2 linked regions of the Oryzias latipes genome follow. The protein of the gene in region 1 interacts with the protein of each later gene in a biochemical or structural test. Links are inferred from orthologs where the notes say so. Each region holds a gene or a part of one and is shown in the gene's direction. Other genes may lie near its edges.

Region 1 (4,550 bases):
CTGTACTTATTCAGGCTAGTGTTATATGGGGGCGGGGCTTTGAGCCCATTGGTTACCATGACATGATTGATGTTGTGTGATAGAGGTCATGACAATGTCATTTCCACTTCAAAGGAGGGATGACTCGAGGTTACATTGTGTACTTTTGAATGTAATTTTTTTCTGGAAATGTTTTTCATTCACTTTAAGCTTGAACATATAGACTCTTCAGTCTGACTCCTTTTTTTTTTTTTTAATGCGTCCTCTCCATTCATTTCTGTGCAGAGCTCCGAATATTTTGACAACAATTTCTGATTTCGCTCCCTGGTGTCTTTGACTTTCCAAGTAGAGATTTAGCTAATTTTTATTTCCTCCTTCCTCCTCAGCGTTGTAGCTCTCTGAGAATTATTTAGACATTTCTCTCTCTGGTTGTTGACTCTGAGGACACAGTCATGACTTTGCACATTCCTCTGCTTTGTGTTCATCAAACATCCCTTCACTTCAAACTAAAACGATCTTGTTGACAGCTCAGAAGTTCTCTAAAGTCTAATTACAGCTTATCAGTCCTGATTTGTACAACAGAGATTTGTGTGTTTTGGCTAAAAACAAAGTCAGTCTTTTGAAAGGGTTAATATGAGACAAGATTTGTTATGAAATTTTAAAGAAGTTTAGAGTTTAAAGCCAATGACGCTGAAACAAATACAGGGACAATAATCTCAATCCTAGAGTGTAAACTCTGCATTTTTGATAGAATTTGGGGTAATTCTGAGAATATTTGCAGTTGGGGGTGAACGTTGGATTGTTTGAACTGTTGACAGGTGGCAGGAACAGCAGCGTGATCTCCCACGGCGCGCTGACCCCCGCTGGCGGGAACCGCCCCCTCAGCAGCGCCTGGCTCTGCGGAGATTCTGGCAAAGGCTGCCTGGAGACGACGCACATGCTGCCCAGCCAGACCATGTCCGTCAACAGCCTGGACATCATCGGACAGTGTCTCGTCTGCGGCACCGACGGAGAGGCCATTTTTGTCAACAGACATGTCCCAGTTTAAAAAATAAGTGTCTTTTGTGAGGAAAGAGATGTTACTGTCCTCATGTTGTGTTCTGACTGTGTTTTGTACAGATTTGATTTAAAAGGTTATTAAATTACAAATAAACGCTCAAATAAGTCTAAAAAGTTGTTTTATTGTCAGTCTTGTTTTTTTATTTTCCAATATTTACGATTATTTGATAGATTTGTATTTACACTGTGTAAAAAAAAAAAAAAAACAAACAAGTCAGCTGCTAAGAACACAGGGAAAAATGGTCTTGATTTCAAATTAAATGTGTTAAACATCTTAAAGTAATACTTCCTCACAGAAATTCTATTTTTTTTTTTTACTTGACTGTTGTTTAATCATCTTTTGAGGACTAATACTCACAGATGAAGACAAACATATGAAATTATACTGCCTACCTTAAGGAAAATTCATAGTATTATGAAGCACTAGTCATTTTAAACAATTTGAAACGATTTTTTTTAAAGATCTTTTTCTTGTAATCGTTTTATTTCTGGTTTGCTTTTTATAAATTTTTAAGCAATGGGTTGTTTTTGATCTCATTCCCTGTTTGTTTCTTGACCCTTGATAGTTTTATTTTGAAAGCGGCGGCCACCGGAAGTGCAGCGCTGCACTCTGACGGCAGCGTTTACTTGTCATTCAGACATCCCGGGAATCCAACGCGACAAGGAACCAGTCACCGCGGCTCAGACATTTATCCATTTAACCTGCGTCCAGCGGAATTAACCCAAAAACACATCGAGCCGTTCAAACAGGGAGACAAGCGGCCGCTTCACGCGCTGGTAGGTTCCGGTTCTCTCTGCTGGTCTCTGAGCAGCCGCTAACCCTCAGCTGCTGTTGAATTTTAGCAAACACAGCAGGCCGTAAAGAAATGTTTGTCTTTGTCTGACGAATACAGCTTATTGTTTTAATCACAAACGACACCTACTATGTTTATAGTAAGGTAAAAAGATTTTTATTTTTAAGATATGTTTACATATTTAATGTTAATTGACGTAGAATTAGCGTCAAAGTAGCGTTTGTTAGCTAACAGAGCTAACAAGCTAGCATGTTTTGGTGTTACAAAGAAGACAGTTAACTTTTAAGTATAAACATGTAAAATACATTAAATGTCACCCGGAAGTAGGGATATAAACGTATTAAATCTAAGCTTAGCTCCTGTTTGTGACGGAAACATGGCCCTGTTTTTCAGTGCCCCTTTGAATTGAATTGAATTGAATTGAATTGGCTTAACCTGTTTGGTAGCATAACATGTATTCTTTGTCGTTCTCACGCTGCTGAAAACACATCCAGCTGAAGCATGCTGCTGTGAGGACCGACCAGAGCCTGCACTGCTGTTACCCTCTTCATCCTCCATCGTCATCGTATATGATCCTACATGAGGAGAGCGGAGAAGCCCGAGGGCTACAGACAGATGAGACCTAAGACCTTCCCCGTCAGCAACTACAATGGCAACAGCCAGCAGATGCTGCAGGAAATACGCAACAGCCTGCGGAACCTGACCAAGCCCTCGGATCAGCCGAAAGGGGACACCGGGGGACCTGGAAAGATGGCCCCTGAAGATCCACGGCAGCAGGGGCGCAGCGGGAACCTCAAAAACCAATACCAGAAGGCTTTACAGGAGATCCGCAAGTCCCTTGTTCCGTATAAAGTGAACGGTTCTGGGGACGAGGAGTCCACCACGTCAGGTGCTGATGGAAACAAGTCCCAGGACCAATCTGGGTTTGAGGAGGTATGAGGAATGCGTTTAGTCTTCTTAGATAATTGGATTCCATTCTGTACATACTTGTGCGGCTGAGGACGGTCACATGGTGCACTTTGTTTAGAGAGGAGTTATGTAGGAAATGCCAGGTATTTGACAAGCTGGTACAGTTAATACCATGGAAGCTGCATAGTTAACGATTTGCGGGCGTTGGTGTGGAGGAGGAGGAGGAGGAGGTCTGTCATCTTCATCTGTGCGTTCTGAAAGCCTAATGATGACGTGTTGATGATTAACACTCCAAAAATTCACAACATTTGAATTTTTTTCTTTCCTGTATACATTTCAAGCTTATTAATCAGTTGTTCTCTTCTGAAGCCATCCAGTGGACGCCGTGGGGGGGTTGCCTCAGACTACATGTTAAAGCCGAGTTACCAGGACCCAATGAGAGATCAGATGACTGCTTCCAGTTCAAACTCTTCAGCCCTGAAAGCCCCGGGTACGCACTCCTGTGGTGACGGTTGCTTCGTTTGATGACAAGTGTTTGTGTCTATTTGGCTGGTTAAACATTTGTGTGTAACCCAACGGTCTCAGAGATGTGCGGTTCTGGACAGAGAGGAAACATTCTGTTGTTTCTGAGGATACATAGAACGCCTTCGGTTAACGGCGAGGAGCTTTTGTTATTCAGACACTTTTCTCACTGTTTCACCTTATTAGGTTCTGCTCGGTAAAACTGAAATTTTTTTTGTGTGAAAACGAACATTTATGAAATTCTTCAGGTTATTTAGGAAAGCTTGAATTTAAAAAAAAAATCCCTAAATAAAATTAAATAACTGAGGGGAAGATTCCATTCATGTAATCTTTTGCTGTGGTTTGTTAATCTATATTCCTGGTTTGTGTTTAATCCCAGATATAATCCCAATCTGGCTAAATTTATGGTTTCAAGGCATTGATTGATTTCAAATCAGATTATTATCCTGCATGTAAGCAGTTTCACTTTTTGCCAAAGATGGAGCTGTTGTGCGGCATTGAATGTGTGCTTAGTCTAACGATGTGTGTGTGCGTGTGTGTGTATAGAAGCCTTCCACATGCCGCAGGTGGTGCTGCGGAGGCCGAGCTGGAAAGGCTCCATGGAGTCTTTGGGCTCTCGCCACGGCCCCAATATGGTGGACGGGATGATGTACCGCTCGGACAGCCCCGGACCCCCCCCTTCGTTCTCGCAGGCTCACCCGACTGCCAACCAGAGGGTCAACCCCCCCCTCCCTCCTCAGATGCGCAGCGTCACACCTCCCCCCAACCGGGCCATGCCACCTGCGCCGTCCTGGGACAACAACCCGCAGACTAACCGCCTCCCTGGAAATATGGATTTCTTCCCCACCCGCATATCCCCGGTGCCTCAGGCCCCCTGGGCTGATGGGTATCCAACCCCCGCAGCCCCGAACCAGCGAGTGATCGGCCCCGCCGCTGGAAGTCACCAGCCCATCATAATGCAAAGCTCCGGGGGGAGCAAGTTCACCTTTCCCTCTAGCTGGACTCAGAGTGGTTCCTCCCAACCGGAGCATGTGTCAGGGGGGAGCAGACAGCCCCCTCCCCCTTACCCTCTTACTCAGAGCAGCTCCACTGACCCCCAGGTGGGGGGACCCGCCTCGTCTCCTTCCTACATCAACGGCGGCGGGATCCCTCCATCCCTGATGATCAGTAACCGGAACAGCCACAACCTGGAGATGTACGGCATTGCCCCCCAGTCCTGGTCCCAGAGCCAGCCCCCGCCTGCCAACTGCAACAGCAACCAGGACCTGTCCCCGTCGTGGCAGCACA
Region 2 (3,816 bases), on another chromosome or scaffold:
AGAAAATCCTCCTGGCCTTTACATTTTTAGGGTGAGCATTTGGTCTACTTAACCTGTTTTCACCCGCTTTGTTGTCAGTTTTTCTGTCATTGGTTCATCTTTTGATAATTGTGTGTTTAGGTTTTTTTTTAGGGTGCTGATCTTGCTTTATCTAATGGATCAAACTGGTGTTATTGTGTTCTCCCTGCACTCCGTGCTCACAGTGAATTTATAATTAACAGCTGAATGGATTTGTGTTTCTCTCCCAGTTCAGAAGCCATAATTTCTTCACTGAGAAATATCATTGTTTCAGTGATCAATGTGAGCATAAATTAAGATTTCTCTCTGTCAAACATAAGAAACTGTCACTGATGTGTTCTAATTAGAACATCACACACACCAATAGTTGTGTAATAGTCAGGATAAGTCACATCTATTCTCTACTCCTCACTCTTTCTGCTGCTCTTTTCAGGGGGATCATTTGCTAAAAAGCAGACTAGTTTCCTTTGTGTAATTTCTCTTTCCTGTCACCTCTCTCCCAGCAACAGAGAAAGGAGCGAGAGATGGTGAGGCAGCAAGAAAAAGGTCCCCATCGGAGAATTGACGATATGAGACGGGAGGAAGATAGAAGGATGGCTGAGAGGGAGCAGGTAACCAACTGCAGGGGACACGGAATCTGTAAGCAGCCAATCACCATGAAGTTAAGGCGTGTCTTCCAACAATACGGCACAAGTTGCTCTGGTGGTGAAATTCCATCAGTGGGTTGCCATAGCAGCAAAGGCCTAAATTAGTGTATTTACTGAGGGTAGAGGGGTTTTTTTGTGCGGAAGCTCTTGCAGGGTCCTCTCAGTCTGTACTCAGAGCACCATCTCCTTTTACTCCTACACACCTCATCTTTGTTTCCTGGGCGCCCCACTAATGTAAAATGTTTCAAATCTCAAAGTCTGCTTATCTTCATTTTATTTATTTAGATCTGCAAGTATGTGTGTAAACTTAGATACGTTGCCTCTTCTAAAAAGCATCTGCACCTTTCCTATTATGTAATTAATAATGACATTTAATCAAAACATCTCATGCTACATTTTACAGATCTTGCATAACGCATCATTCCAGCTTCTAAACAAATCTGGCACTCCTTCATTTCTCCTGTCATCACCCTAATGAGCACCACCTCTGTCTTCTTACCTTCCTGCAGGAGTTTATCAGACATAAGTTAGAGGAAGAGCAGCGGCAGTTAGAAATCCTACAGCAGCAGCTGCTTCAGGAGCAGGCACTGCTCATGGTAACTACTCCCTAATGTTTGTTTACAGTCATAAGCTTGGGTTTATGATTATTTCACCAATAACAGTTAATCAGTCGGGACATAAACATGCTGTGTTTAATACATTTAGCTTTTATTTTAACTTTTTAATGTAATGTGATTTTTTTTTTTAAATATTTTATTTGCCATATAATCTGAAATGAATAAAGATAAACATCCCTACATTGTCATAAAGTGTGCAGTAATGGTTATTCTAATCGGTAGATTGGAGGATGTGGATGTACATTACAAGCCATTAGTGCTGCTCACATATTATTGCAGATATTTTAACATATTTAATGACCTAGATTTCCAGGTGAGTTTAGGCGCTTTGCAGCCTTCAGTTGAAGCCTAGATTTCCCGCATTTCCTGTGACTTCTCCGTTAGTTTCCTACTGTAGAATGTACTGAGGTCATAATTAACACTGAGGTCTATTTCAGTTTTACAGAGGGATTATTGACTCTATATGTAGAACACTTGAGGCACTTAAAAGTGCATTCACAGGATTCCTGAGCTAGGCTTTATGGGGGCAGACAACAGGGTCAGTCACAGGGCAACCCCCCTGTGGAAACTATGAATGTTTAAAGGCTACATTTTGCAACCAATATTCTCTGATTCTACTGCAGTTTAAATCCTCAAATCTGCTTTCAACTAGAAACTAGCAGACTGCCTTTGCCTCTAATTTTTGCCTTTTATTTAAACTGTGGCAGCCTTTGCAAAGCTTGTAGTGATTCCAGTGCAATATAGTGGCAAATAAAAGTAATTCTAGGTTAAAATAGTTTTGGGAGTTCCAATATAGGTTCCTTATGATGCACAAATGTGTGTTGTGTTTTTACCAGTTATAGAACAACAGATTAGCTCTGTTTAAAGTTGCAGGTTTACATCCAAATTATTTTTTGCTTTTAATACTTAATACTGGGACCAAAGGCTTATTATGGAGACCAGTGTGTCGCGTCAGATAGGTTTCTGGAGTATGAGGTGTTTAACACAGGCTGGGGTATCTATGTGTAGCAGAAGTAAAGGCTTTGATGGTGCTGCTGGCAGTAGATGGGCCTCTTCTCTGGCTGCACCATGCTAGGACTACACTTTGTCACAAAGAAATCTTAATGCAGCCACTTTGGTCTGCAGAAAATTGCATTTTCGCATAAAATGACAGATGGAAGAGACATCTTGAGCAACTTTCAGGCTTCCTAGAGTTGTGGGGTTATCCATTATATTTAAGGACACACTCACTCTTAAGTTGGGAACCAAATCCCCAATCAACTGATGGGCAGACGGCAGCTTAAACCCATGGATCTGCAGCCACCGGATAGTTGCTGTTTGCTGCTGATGATGCTATTCGTCATTCTTCATTGAGTGCAGACCTCAATAATGGTGGCAATATAATTTGTTTATGATTTGAGATCACCTTTGCATATTAGGAAAAACTAATTTAAAGTTTACTGTATGTTTTTTTAACACTTTGCAGAAAGTTGAATTTTAACTTGAGGTATTCAAGTTATGACTATTTTTGTTTGCCAAAGGCTGGAAGAGCAGAGACCTGGTGACAAAAAGTCAACAAGTCAGCCGACTTACCTCATGCCAATCAGCAAAATGATGACGTTTTGTCAGAAATTGAACAATTATATTTGCCCCATGTGATGTTTTTTGTGCGTCCACTGTCCTTTGATTGTGGCTGTTTTTCTTTTTTGTTCAGGAGTATAAGCGCAAACAGCTGGAGGAGCAGCGCCAGTCAGAGCGGCTGCAGAGACAGCTGCAGCAGGAGCATGCCTACCTGGTGTCTTTGCAACAGCAGCAGCAAGACAAGAAGCCCCAGCTTTACCACTACAACAAAAACTTGGAGCCAAACAACAAACCTAATTGGGCCCGAGAGGTACCAGGCTGGGCTTGGTTTAAGTCACAGCGCCCTTCATGACGACACACTGTTGACCTTTCTTTTCACCGTCCTGTTCTAGGTGGAGGAGCGGAGTAAACTCAACAGGCAGGGTTCACCCAAAATCTGCACTACGGTCTCTGACACTAATATCCAGTCGCGTGCCGATTCTATCAGCCAATCAGGATCGGTTGCTCAGACACCACCCATGCAGAGGCCAGTGGAACCTCAAGGGGGGCAGAGCAAGGTTTGTGCTTATTGTGAAAATGCATGGATCTACATTTCTGCCTCCTAATTCCTCAGTTGCTTTACCTTTGACACTTTGCTTCTTTTTTTCTTTTCCATGTCTGTTTTCACTTTGTTCCCTCATTTACAAAATCCCCTTCCAACAAAAACATAACTGTGTCTTCTTCCCCACTTTGATGTCTTCCTGCGCTCTCACTTGGCTGCACCTCCCTCCTGGTCCTCTGCAGTTTCAGATGGCTCATTTGGTTCCTCTAAAGCCTTACGCTGCCCCTGTTCCTCGCTCTCAGTCCCTCTGTGACCAGCCCACTAAGAACATGTCCGCATTCCCCACTCAGGATCCTTCCCTCCTCCCCATACCTCGCCCCAACCACTCCAGAGAGCTTGTACGTCAGAACTCCGACCCCACCTCTGAAACCCC

Evidence for each region.
Region 2: of the proteins of lats1 (region 1) and mink1, one has a biochemical effect on the other in vitro, tested with the Homo sapiens proteins (2 studies listed by BioGRID). The link is inferred for Oryzias latipes from reciprocal best matches to the Homo sapiens genes LATS1 and MINK1.

Annotation. Positions count from the first base shown.
Region 1 is NC_019882.2:17,714,308-17,718,857, forward strand, and holds the start of lats1 (serine/threonine-protein kinase LATS1), read left to right. Parts: upstream 1-1,627; 5' UTR 1,628-1,815; intron 1,816-2,326; 5' UTR 2,327-2,411; coding exon 2,412-2,765; intron 2,766-3,110; coding exon 3,111-3,231; intron 3,232-3,809; coding exon 3,810-4,550. Other genes in the region: nucleoporin Nup43, read left to right, coding at 798-1,027. UniProt on the Homo sapiens protein: Negative regulator of YAP1 in the Hippo signaling pathway that plays a pivotal role in organ size control and tumor suppression by restricting proliferation and promoting apoptosis.
Region 2 is NC_019872.2:15,696,261-15,700,076, reverse strand, and holds part of mink1 (misshapen-like kinase 1), read left to right. Parts: intron 1-521; coding exon 522-629; intron 630-1,174; coding exon 1,175-1,261; intron 1,262-2,975; coding exon 2,976-3,152; intron 3,153-3,234; coding exon 3,235-3,399; intron 3,400-3,625; coding exon 3,626-3,816. UniProt on the Homo sapiens protein: Serine/threonine kinase which acts as a negative regulator of Ras-related Rap2-mediated signal transduction to control neuronal structure and AMPA receptor trafficking.